Danio rerio: one gene and its partner. The protein of the gene in region 2 interacts with the protein of the main gene of each other region in a biochemical or structural test. Links are inferred from orthologs where the notes say so. Each region holds a gene or a part of one and is shown on either strand. Other genes may lie near its edges.

The links.
Region 1: of the proteins of rnf168 (region 2) and h2ax, one has a biochemical effect on the other in vitro, tested with the Homo sapiens proteins (2 studies listed by BioGRID). The link is inferred for Danio rerio from reciprocal best matches to the Homo sapiens genes RNF168 and H2AX.

What each region holds. Positions count from the first base shown.
Region 1 is NC_133180.1:31,150,053-31,155,101, forward strand, and holds h2ax (histone H2AX), read right to left. Parts: upstream 2,614-5,049; 5' UTR 2,571-2,613; coding exon 2,142-2,570; 3' UTR 1,997-2,141; downstream 1-1,996. Other genes in the region: hmbsa (hydroxymethylbilane synthase a), read left to right, coding at 682-852. UniProt on the Homo sapiens protein: Variant histone H2A which replaces conventional H2A in a subset of nucleosomes. Nucleosomes wrap and compact DNA into chromatin, limiting DNA accessibility to the cellular machineries which require DNA as a template.
Region 2 is NC_133190.1:4,311,644-4,318,349, forward strand, and holds the start of rnf168 (E3 ubiquitin-protein ligase rnf168), read right to left. Parts: upstream 4,285-6,706; 5' UTR 4,205-4,284; intron 180-4,204; exon of another isoform or gene 177-179; 5' UTR 108-176; coding exon 1-107. UniProt on the Homo sapiens protein: E3 ubiquitin-protein ligase required for accumulation of repair proteins to sites of DNA damage. Acts with UBE2N/UBC13 to amplify the RNF8-dependent histone ubiquitination.

The sequences.
Region 1 (5,049 bases), on a different chromosome or scaffold from region 2:
TGTGTGTGTGATGATGTGTTTTTTTATTTTAGGTTGCCTTTTAAAATCTAGCAGGGGACAACAGATGAAAACTAGCCCTTGTTGCTAACTCTGGCTTATTTACAGTTTTACTGTTCATTAATGAGCATTGTCCCTGTTAAATAAAATTAATTCAAATAAATCTTTATTTTAGAAAATATATATACCCAAAAACAATAGTTTAGTTTCTAATATTTATTCATTTATTATTATTATTATTTATTTATGTGTATCTGTGTGTGTGTGTGTGGTGCAACATTTTCAAATTATTAATAATTTTTCTGTGGCAAAAAAAAAAATAAATAAAAAAAAAAAATATATATATATATATATATATATAATTTTGATGAGCTCATCTACACATTGAAGATAATAAATATTTAACAAGCACCATTTGAAAACATTACAATTACTTACGGATCATGTGACACTAAAGACTGAAGTATTAATGCTGACAATTCAGCATTATTTCAGTCATAAACAACATTTTTAAATTGATTATTTTAGAATATATGCAGTTTCCGTGAGCATAAGCAGCAGCTTTCGGAAACATTAAAACCTCCTAGGTTCCTACCAAACACTAAACGTTTAGGCATCAATGTATATGTGATAAATTGCATAATGTAATATTGACCTCATTGTAATCTCTTTTTAATATTTTAGGTGAACGAGAGTACACAGCGCTCTGCAAATGTTGGAGTCACTGCGTGCAATATCTCATCATCAGCCCTCGAAGCTGCTGAGAAACTGGGGCTGGATCTGGCAAATGTTCTCCTTAATAAAGGGGCCAAAGACATTCTTACAACAGCCAGAAAACTAAATGATGCTCGATAACCCTGATGTTTCTGTTCATTTCATGTTGTGCACTGGAATATCATTAGACCTAGATATTTTGGAAACTTTGACATGCTGTTAACTTGGATAAACAGTCAAATCAACGATAGCTGAATAACTACCATGATTAGAGGAACATGTTGTTTTATCTATACCTCAGTGCCTTGCTTTAACAGAGACACTACTTTTAGATGACTGCTATTCTCTGGTCTCAAGCACTGAGTTTTGTAAAAAATAAATAAATTTAAAAAACCGCCAATTCTGCCTTTACAGCATAGGTCTCAAACTCAATTCCTGGAGGGTTGCAGCTCTGCAGTTTTTCTCCAACCCTATCAAACACAGCTGACCCAAATAATCAAGGTGTTCGAGAGTTATGAACATCTTCATAAGGTGCATTTGATCAGGGTTGAAGCAAAACTGCGAGCTGCAACCATCCAGGAATTGAGACCTATGCTTTACAGTGTCTCTGAACCTCATTATTACAAGGAAGTGAACAGATGTCTACTTTTTACATCAGAGCTTTTTTTCATCTTTAGCTTTTACGTAAACGGAGTAAAAAAAAATGTGTCAAAGTATCCCACATTTCCTTTTATCACTGGAAGAATATTCATGTAATAATCAAAGTACTGAGGTGCTAAGATTTTATGGGTGTTTTAGCACCATGTAAGATTTTTACTGGCAAAATTAGCTGTCTAAGTTCGTGTTAATATTTTATATTTATGTAGCAAGTTGTAAAGTGCCTTCCAAATGTGAAATTGACCAGCTATACTATAGCAATTACTTGGCCAGCAACATTGTGTTGTCAAATCAACATGAGAATGAATTAAAAAATGTGTTATAAATAATAAAGTATATCAACAACCCCCTGATGAGTTCTTTGGTTTTTTGCTGACACTGGAAAACAAGACTCACACTATCGTTCACTCATACATAAAGACTTTTTACATTATGAAAAAGACCAGAGAATTACTTTGCCTTACCTTGTGTTTATGAAAACCTAGTTTCCGTTTTCCAAATTAACTCGTATAAATTAATTATGAGAAAAAAAAAATGTACCGTTAAGAAATAAACACTGAAGTAACGTAAATTCTTAAATTGTGATAACAGTTAGCCTAAATCGGTTCAAAAAACACCAACATTAACATTATTAAAAAATGACAATTTAATAAGCAAAGCATGCATCTCAAAAATACAAGCTATATCACATTCAGACACATGGAAATTGCTCTTTTCAGAAGAGTTGGGTGGCCCTTAAAAGGGCCTTTGGATGAATTAGCTCAGTTCAACATTTAATACTCTTGTGACTGGGAAGATCCCTTCTTTCCAGATTTGCCGGAGCTGGCTGCAGCCTGGCCAGTCTTCTTGGGCAGGAGCACGGCCTGGATGTTGGGCAGAACACCGCCCTGTGCGATGGTCACTCCGCCGAGCAGTTTGTTCAGCTCCTCGTCGTTACGGACGGCCAACTGGAGATGGCGAGGGATGATACGAGTCTTCTTGTTGTCTCTTGCGGCGTTTCCCGCCAACTCGAGGATCTCAGCAGTCAGGTACTCGAGCACGGCGGCCAGATACACGGGGGCACCGGCGCCCACTCGCTCAGCATAGTTGCCTTTACGAAGGAGACGGTGAACACGGCCGACGGGGAACTGAAGACCGGCGCGGGAGCTGCGAGTCTTAGCCTTAGCGCGGGCTTTTCCTCCGGTTTTACCTCTTCCAGACATGTTGAATGGCTTACTTAACTCTTCGCGTGTGCAAGAAATCAGTACATTGGCAGTGAAACTGCTGCAGTATTTAAAGACTGGTTGAACGTTCAAAGCATAGTCCCGCCCACACATTTGATTGGTTGCGCGAAGGGAAGTACAGACCTGATTGGTTGTCGGTGGTGAAACCAGAGCGGATGTAATCCCCCATTGGCTTGAACTTGCAGTGCATAAACAGCGCAAAGTAACGAACCAATCAGAGTGTATCTGAATATGCGAGAGCTGATTGATTCGCTTGGTTCGTCTGCGCTAGTATTGGTCTTTCTTTACCTCAATCACATTTCGGCGGTAAGTTCAAACCAATTGAACATATTCCCTCTGAATTTTAACACAGTTTGACGCAAAACCAATTTTTTCATTTGTTTAACCCTCTCATGTACACTTATTGTGACGTAATATTTTATAGATTTAATTCACTCAATGTAAATGTCTTTAAAATGTGATTTGTATGCGATTTCTTTAAAATGCACAATGAATTAAATCACTTTGTCGTGATGTGACACTAAAGTGATTCAGTGTGCATTTTAGATAAATTCACTTTTAGCTGATTAATAATGGGAAATAAGAAAGGAGGAATGGTTTTTCAAAAATAATTTATTCAGAATAAATTAAACATCAAATGAACAACAATATAAAGCTCCGAATACCTCAGAAGGCCCAGCAGCAGCACCTTCACTTCAGATTGTTCGCTGTCATCACAACATTTTGCTCATACATTTTTCAGGCTTTATGCTCCAAAATGACTATAAAGCGCTGAGCCATTGACTCGTGACCTGCAATTCACTGTATAATTGCTAAAATGCTTTCCTGTAGCTATTATTTTGGTTAGAACACCCTTGCCTTTATTATAAGTTCAGGTTATTTGGAATGAAAAACAAAAGTCTGAGAATTGCATTGAGTCGTATGGGTGGGGAACCCCAGCAGACTATTTTTTAGTTTAATAGGCGTCTAATAGACATCTAAACATAAACAGCTTGGATTAGTCAAAACTACACTAGTCGTCAGATAGACAGACTTTATATATGTAGTCATTAATTTCTGTTTATTTGATGACTAGTCTAGTTTTGGCCTATTTTAGACGTCTACTGGAGTTTCACTGACAGCCCTTTATTTAGCCATGAGGACTGTTTAGACGTCTATTAGACATCTTAAAAAGGGAAGATACTGCGAGAGATTCTTTAAAGGGACAGTTCATCAAAATGATATTTGATTGGGGGTTTCAATCCTGTTTCGTGCAACATGAAGAGTTTAATGCAGATAACCAGCTTCAGTTACCACAGCATCTTTATATCCATCAAATGAAAATGAATGGTGACCACGTTGAGTAGGAGGTTTGAGTATGAACTACTCCTATATTTGACCTTACATTACCAGAAAACAACAAAGCCTCCTGCTTAGTATTACAATAAAAAGCTACCACTAATAAAATCTACTTTATGTATTTGACGTGCAAAAGACCTTTATTGCAGCTCACTTTAAATAAACGCGGTTGTGTGTTACTGGGGCAGCGCCTGTTCGGTTTAAAAAGCCATCTCTGAAAAAAATAAAGCGATGAAACTTATTATACCTTTTATATTAGCCCCTGAGGTTTCACGTGGACCCTGAAAATAGCACTTTCCCACTGCAGATCCAGCCTGATGCATCTCACGAGGTTGTAGATTTACAATAATTCCTGGAATAATTTATAAATATGCACAAATGCGTTTTTTTGACCTGTAGTGTGTCCCTTTTGTCAAACGAAGGGCTCGTGTTTTACAACCAAAACACACAGACAGACGTCATTTAGTGCGATATGTCTACAGTAACTTATGAACGTTTCCGTTTCTTAAACGAATAGAAACATCGTTATAAAATATTACTGAAGCCACGATGAAAGTCAAACGTACCACTATTTGAAAACAGGGAATCCCATCCCTTGATCTAAATGCTATATATAGCAACAGCAAAACGAGAACAAAGCTCACAGCATGTCCTAGCATATCACACTCTCCGGATACTCCTAATGAGCGCAGGAGAAATAAACCAGTGCAGAGCAACAGTAAACGATACACAAACATGATTAAAAACGACAGAAAGAGAGCTCCCCAGCATTGTAAACAATCAGAATAAGATCCAAAGTGCAAATGATGAAGTAAAATAAATAAGAAAAACGACACAGCGACAGTTTGGAGGCTTGAATAGTCATTGGTCTCTGTCGCCCCCTTGTGCTCAATAACCGCATGACGATCCCGTCCATTTTTGGGGTTTTCCAGTTTGTTCGCCTGAAATCATCCAGAAAAGCAACATTTTGTCCGTTGTATCAAATAAATTAGATAAGCAATGCATCCATATAAATCCTTTTATTTTCCGCATTTATTGGCGTTTCCATTAACGCCAAAGCAAGGCTGGCTTCATAGGTATATAGTGTGGTCAGAAGTATGATATTACTGTTTTAGGTTGT
Region 2 (6,706 bases):
GGCTCCAGGAATATTTCCAGGCATACAGGACAAACGCAGTCTGAGCGCTTAAGACCGCCAGAGCTTTCTTCAACTGGACCCCTGTCCACCTCGGACACAGGCGGCATCCTGCTGCCCGCCACTGTACGTCAGTCAATGATGATCCTCAGTCAGGGTCAATCGCAGCATAAGATGGTCTGCTGGAAAACAAAACAAAAAAAATATCAAATACAGGGCTTGTAAAAATGTCTAAATCCCTGGTAGCTTTTCGGGCAGAAACTCTTCAGCTTTTGGTAGCTCAGAATACATTCAAGTGATCCGAACAGAAAAGACATTATTTACCAAACAAAAGAAAATACAAAGTTTACTGAATAAAAAGAAAAAAATAGAATGACATTAGTTTTAGGATACATACATGTTTTTAAATATGAATATATTTAATTTCAATATTTCAATTTATTTATGCTAGGGTTGGGTAATGTCAACTAATTTGGCATTGTACGATGTCTAATGTGAAACATCCCGATAGACAATGGCATAATCATCGTCGTAGGTGGCGGTGAATAAATTATTTATGATTAATTAATTAAAAACGCATTAATTACTTGTAGCCTACCGTTTCAACTACCTGACTTGCATGGTCTTTGCCCGGGTGCACAAATAACAGTATCTGAGTTTTCGCTAAAATTACTAAGTACAAGCATGAAAGTGTAAGATTGAAGCTACTGATGCTGTGACACATTACCTGATAGATTCAAAAGAAAGAAATGTAATGTAATGTATTTTTTATTTAATGCCATGTCAGCAACCAAGGCTATTTTCATGGCAGGAATCTTTCAACAATAAATATACAATTTAATAATCAACAAGCAAATTAGAACATTAGAACATTTTTATGTTAATACATGATAAAAATTCTGAAATCTTTTCTGGTTTCACTTTGTTAAAAATGTCCTTTTAGTTTTAGAGTTCATTAAAATAAAAAGTCCTGTTCTGGAATCAGTAAAAAGACAGTCCAGTAAAACGTGTTTTATTCAAAAGACAGATCGTTTTCATTTTAAAATGCCATTTTAAAACGAAGACGTATTCAAGTAAAAGGGGCCTAACGCCCGATTCACACGGGGCTTCAGCGTCAACGCTTGACACAGGGTGTGTCTAAAGTTGGGGGTGACACGATCGTCAAAGCAGCGTCAGCCAATGAAATTAGTCAGCAATTAGTCTGTCTGAGCTGGGGTATTTGCATACAGCGATCTGATTGGTTGGTGCTTCTGTCAGTGGCACCAACGGATCCACAATGCAAATCGGCAACGCCTGACATCACCCATTTAAAGTGTATGGTAAGCGTTGACGCCCCGTGTGAATTAGTGTTTATTTTTCGCAAGCGGGTTGTTGCTGCGACAGGGGCGGATGATCGCAATGCCAGCTCAGCATTGTGATGTCTATCGGCCATCGGCAATGGACGATGACATTGCCTATCAAACCAACCCTAATTTATAAAATGTTCATGTTTTTATTGACACTGAAAAAAAATGATGTGAGGCTTTTTAAAACTTTGTTTTATTTTTTATAAACTTAGCACCACTTTTTTGACACCAGTTGAAATATATTGATATCGGTTCCTCGATAAAATGAAAACTACATACAACATAATTAACCAATTTGTAAAAATGCAAAAGAATTAAAATAGGCTGCACTTGTCCGCACATTAACATTTGAGCAGGGTAGATTTATTTTTGGTAGCCCGACTGAAAAACATAATAGCCTCTGGACATGTGGCTAGCAGTTTTGCGAGCCATGAAATTGGATGAGCTTGATAAACTCTGTATTTAGAAATGAATTACAATACTTCACAGACTGTCAAGGTACAGCAGGTTTCACATGGTAAAAATATGTAATTTAGCTCAAAAATGAGTTTAATATATATTTAAATTTAGTTTCTTTTTCACACTTCAGATTAGAGCTGCACGATACTATAATATGTGATATCGTATTGAGATATTTTTCATATTATAACTAGCTTATGTCTGTCACAATATTTTTGTGTGTGTGTGTATGGTACGATATATAGCACCAACATTTATATGATAAACAATAGTATTGTGACGTTTAGACCATTTTGACACTGTAATATCATCACAATGCACGTACACTCATTTTATTCTCAAGGATATTTCATTTAAATATAGTCATTTTAACAATTTAGTAATTAGGCATTGAATCAGAATGTGAAACTGAATATTCTAAACAAATAAATAATAATAATAGATGTTAAGAAAAAAAATTGCAAGGTAGAAAGATCTAGAAAAAAGAAGCATCTATTTTCAGTCATCAGTAGGCCCACACGGAATCTGCGCGCGCAGAATTCCGCAGATTTTTCGCGGAATTCCACAGATTTCTGTAGATTTTTAGCCCATCATTAAGTCTGTTTATTTACTTAAGTAAATGTGTGTAAATCTAATTTTTTTTTTAAACTAATTACAGTAATATTATTGACTAATATGAAAATGTTCATTTGATTTATGTACAATACAGTCTGTAAAGTAATATTTTCTGTCTTTTAGTAGATATATTATATCTAGTAGATATATTATATATGAGAGACTTGCTTTGTTTACCAAATAAAGTGAATCTAATTAGATTTGCAATTTAAACATTAAATAAAAGTTAAAAAGGTATTACTTTTTATTTAACTAATTAAGGTTTTAGTTACGATACTCTCAAAACAATTCCGCTGAAATTCACAGATTTTTACCAAAATTCTCCGCAGAGATAGCAAAAAACGTCCGCAGATTCCGTCTGGCCCTGATCATCAGGCACCCATGGAAGTATACAAAAGTAATTTATAGTAAATACTATAGTGTTTACCATACCAACACTGACACCTCCAATAGAGATGGAGAAATCGCACAATCAGCTAGAAATGTTGCTTGACTTTTATGTATGGGCAATATATATCGCATCAACAAATATGATTGAGGTCATGTCCATGTATTGTGCAGTAAGTCAATATAGTGATTATTGTGACAGGCCTAAACTAGCTTGCAAAATTTTATTTTATCAGCAATTAAAATATATATTTATTTAGGTTATGGTCTGGTCATACTAAAATAAGCAGGTAATAGATAATTTCCTGAGGTAATTAAATTTTAAAAAAAGATATATAACTCTAAATACTGTGCAGCCCTACTTCAGATTGTGACTAATTAAATTAATTATTTTTTAATTAATATGTATGGACACAATATTTTTAACATTTATATACAAAACCCACTAAAATGTCATTCAGCGTGACAAGAATTTAAAAAACAAAGTAAAAAGTAATCAACAAACAAACAAAATTCCAAAAATTATATTTCATATCACCAGGATCAACCCATTTGTCAGTAAGTTTTTAATGTTTTCAAATACTATGAGTTTTTTTTTTCTGTATTTTCACTATTACAGATCAGAAGTTTTACATTTTTACATAAACATATCCATTACGCTGAATGACGATTTTTAATACAAATTTATATATTTTTTTGTCTTTAAAGTTATTTGAAATAACTCAGTTAATACTTTGCCATTATTTAAAATGCTTTTACACATAAAAGTCCTTTTTAAATATAACTTGATGCCAACAGCAATAAGCGGAAGTCTTATTTTTGACCCACACATGTTTTATGAAATGAATATAGAGATTGAAAATTGTAATAAACCTAATGAATACTCAAACATTTAAACAGTTTTCATAAAAAAATTATGTAAACCTAAGTATTAAACAGTAAGGTAGTTAGTTATGAACTAGTTAACTAGACAGTAAACTAGTTAAACTAGCAATTACATTTTTTTCAACGAACACATTCATATTACTGGCATAATTAATATAATTACGTCAAATCTGATGTGATTTTAATGTTTACATCGACTAGTTGACAGTTCTCAGACATGATTAACGTGTCATTAACGTTAAACTCTGCAGTTTTGACCAAACGACGTGCCTTTGATATATTAAGGTAATTTATATCATCAGTTTACATCTTAAGTTAATTTTTTTTCAAGTTATAACACAAATTCTAATCGGACGGCTAGCAAGTTAGCAACTTTCTAGCAGTGACCAAACTGCTGTTTCTGTAGAGATGACGGTGAGGCTAAACTGAAGGATTGCTTTTGTTAGTACAATACGTAGTTTAATGAATGGTTTTGTAATGTGATCAATTAGAAATTTTACATCTTACACACTTACGCGCTTTCTTGCTCACAAGGCCACAAAATCCCGGGAATATTTTGCGCCCTACTGCCCGCGCGTGTGAAACCATGGGCGGCAACGACAAGACAGTGTTTCAAAATAAAAGCACTGCTGTTTCATTTGGATTAGATCAGTAGAAGAACATACAATACAGCCAACCTTGTTTGAGGACTTTGATTAAGGACTTGACACTCATCTTGGACTAAATGACTAAAGACCCCTGGATTGTTGCTGTTTGATTCATGACATTTGTTGTTATTGTTTTTCAAGCATTCAATAAAAAAAAACATACAATACAGCCGGTAGAAGAACATACAATAAATGGTTAAATAATAACAAGCCTTCGCTCCGTATTTGGTATGGCTTCATGACGCATTACCTGAAAGATTAAAAACGTTTTACAGCCATATATTAAAAGTTTCAGTAGTATAAAAAGTATTAAAAAAAACTTTATAACAGCATGAAACGCAGACAATATAAACGAGCTGATTTAAATTTTGATTGTAATTATAGGTAGTATTTCAAACACTAATCTTATTTTTCTTTAATATTATTAAAGAATTTCTTAAGGCTACATTGCGTAAGGCCACATTTCCCTGCTGAATTTTTTTTTTGTTTTTGTTTGTTTAAACTAGCTTGGTTAGTTGGTTTTAGGGTGGTTATAGCCATCTCTGGCCTGGAATGAACAGCTAAAACCAGCTTTACCAGCCTGCTTTAAGCTGGACGACGTAGCTGGTTTTGGCTAGTCTTCCAGCCTGACCAACTAAGACCAGATCCTGTAAACCCCTGTAAAACCAGGCTGGTCGAATTTGAGGTAAAATTCATTTTACATTTGCACATTCTCCTTTTCAGACAGGTATTCGTTAGAGATTCTAAATAAATAATTCATATTAGCAGCCAATGAATATCTAAATACAACATTGTTCATGACCAATTAAAAAGTGCTTGTTGTTTTGAAGTCATGCATGCTGTTTTTAACCAAATATTCAAAGTACAATGGTAAACGATATAAGGACCATGTCAACAGATGCAGATATAACCAGTAAGCAAGGTAAGCAGTCGCTTAGGGCCCCAGGGAGTCTTGCGGCCCACAATTTTTATAAGTTATATACAACATAATTTTCCATCATATTTTGTAGGGATGTCCCGATTAGGGTTTTTGCCCTCAAGTCCGAGTCATTTGATTAATAGTAGGCTATCTACCGATACCAAAACCCTATCCAAAAACACATAATAAATACTTTAAAAAAGAATAAAGAAGTGAAGAAGCAGATCAAGGATGTTCCTTATTTTTTATTTAATTCACCTTATTTTAACATTCAACAACTCTGTTAACAAACAGAGCACTTCTGTGAGGTAGCTTGAACATCCAAGTAATAACTTAAATTCTTTACTTGTGGACTTTAGAGCAACAGTAAACATATATAAAAAAATCAAATAAAACGAATTGCTTCTCAATTTAAAATACCCAACAAGCAATACTTAGTTTACATATCTGAAAGTTTGCCATGGCAATGTTGTCATCATCAACTATACTATATAATACCTCCAGACCGCAAACATAATTGCACTTTTTGCTTCAAGCTGCTTCTGTGTTCTACTTTGCGGGCAACACAATAGTGTTTTCACAACAACTTGATGTAAGGCTGCACGCGTTGCTGTTTTGTTCACATATATATATATATATATATATATATATATATATATATATATATATATATATATATATATATATATATATATATATATATATATTTGAGTCCTGATCAGGAGATACGTTCAATTACGATTGAGGCTGAAACTGCATGATCAGGCCCGATTTCAGATCGGATCTGACAGCCTGATCTCACGAGAAAACGTAAATATTTTTCGTTTTAAGTCCTGCCACACACTTGTGTCAAGCCAACAAACACTAAAGAATGTCTGGATCTGTGGTCATAAGTTTGCAGCAAATAAACTCTTAATTAATTTGCATAATTTGCTTTAACTATATAATATTTGACTATAACTCTCTGAATTTCCAAAAACATGGTGGGACTTTTATTATGTTTAACTCTCTTTTTAACTCTTTATGTGGCACTCATTGACTGAAATAACAACTGGAACCACCCTGAAGTGTCACAGAGTGTTATTAAAAGACTTTTTATGATTTAAACATTTACATTAAATGAAGTTATATTATAATATGTGTAAAAATGAAGTTACCATGAAGGAGGAGGATAAGTAAGTCAAGTCTACCTTTAAATGGGCTTTATGCACAGCAGGAGTTTAAAAGCCAATGAAAGCTTAATGTGACTATATACAGCATTAATGTTGTAATGTAATTACAAAACATTCAGTTAAATAGACTTAAACACTCATTTAGTTGTTGAAGCAGAATACAAGATGAAAGACCGTGTAACCGTTAGCACCGTCAGTAGCTACAGGCTAGCACAGAAACTCCATTGAAAATACTGGGGTAAAATAAACTGTCAAATTTTAAAGACATGGCGGGGAGAA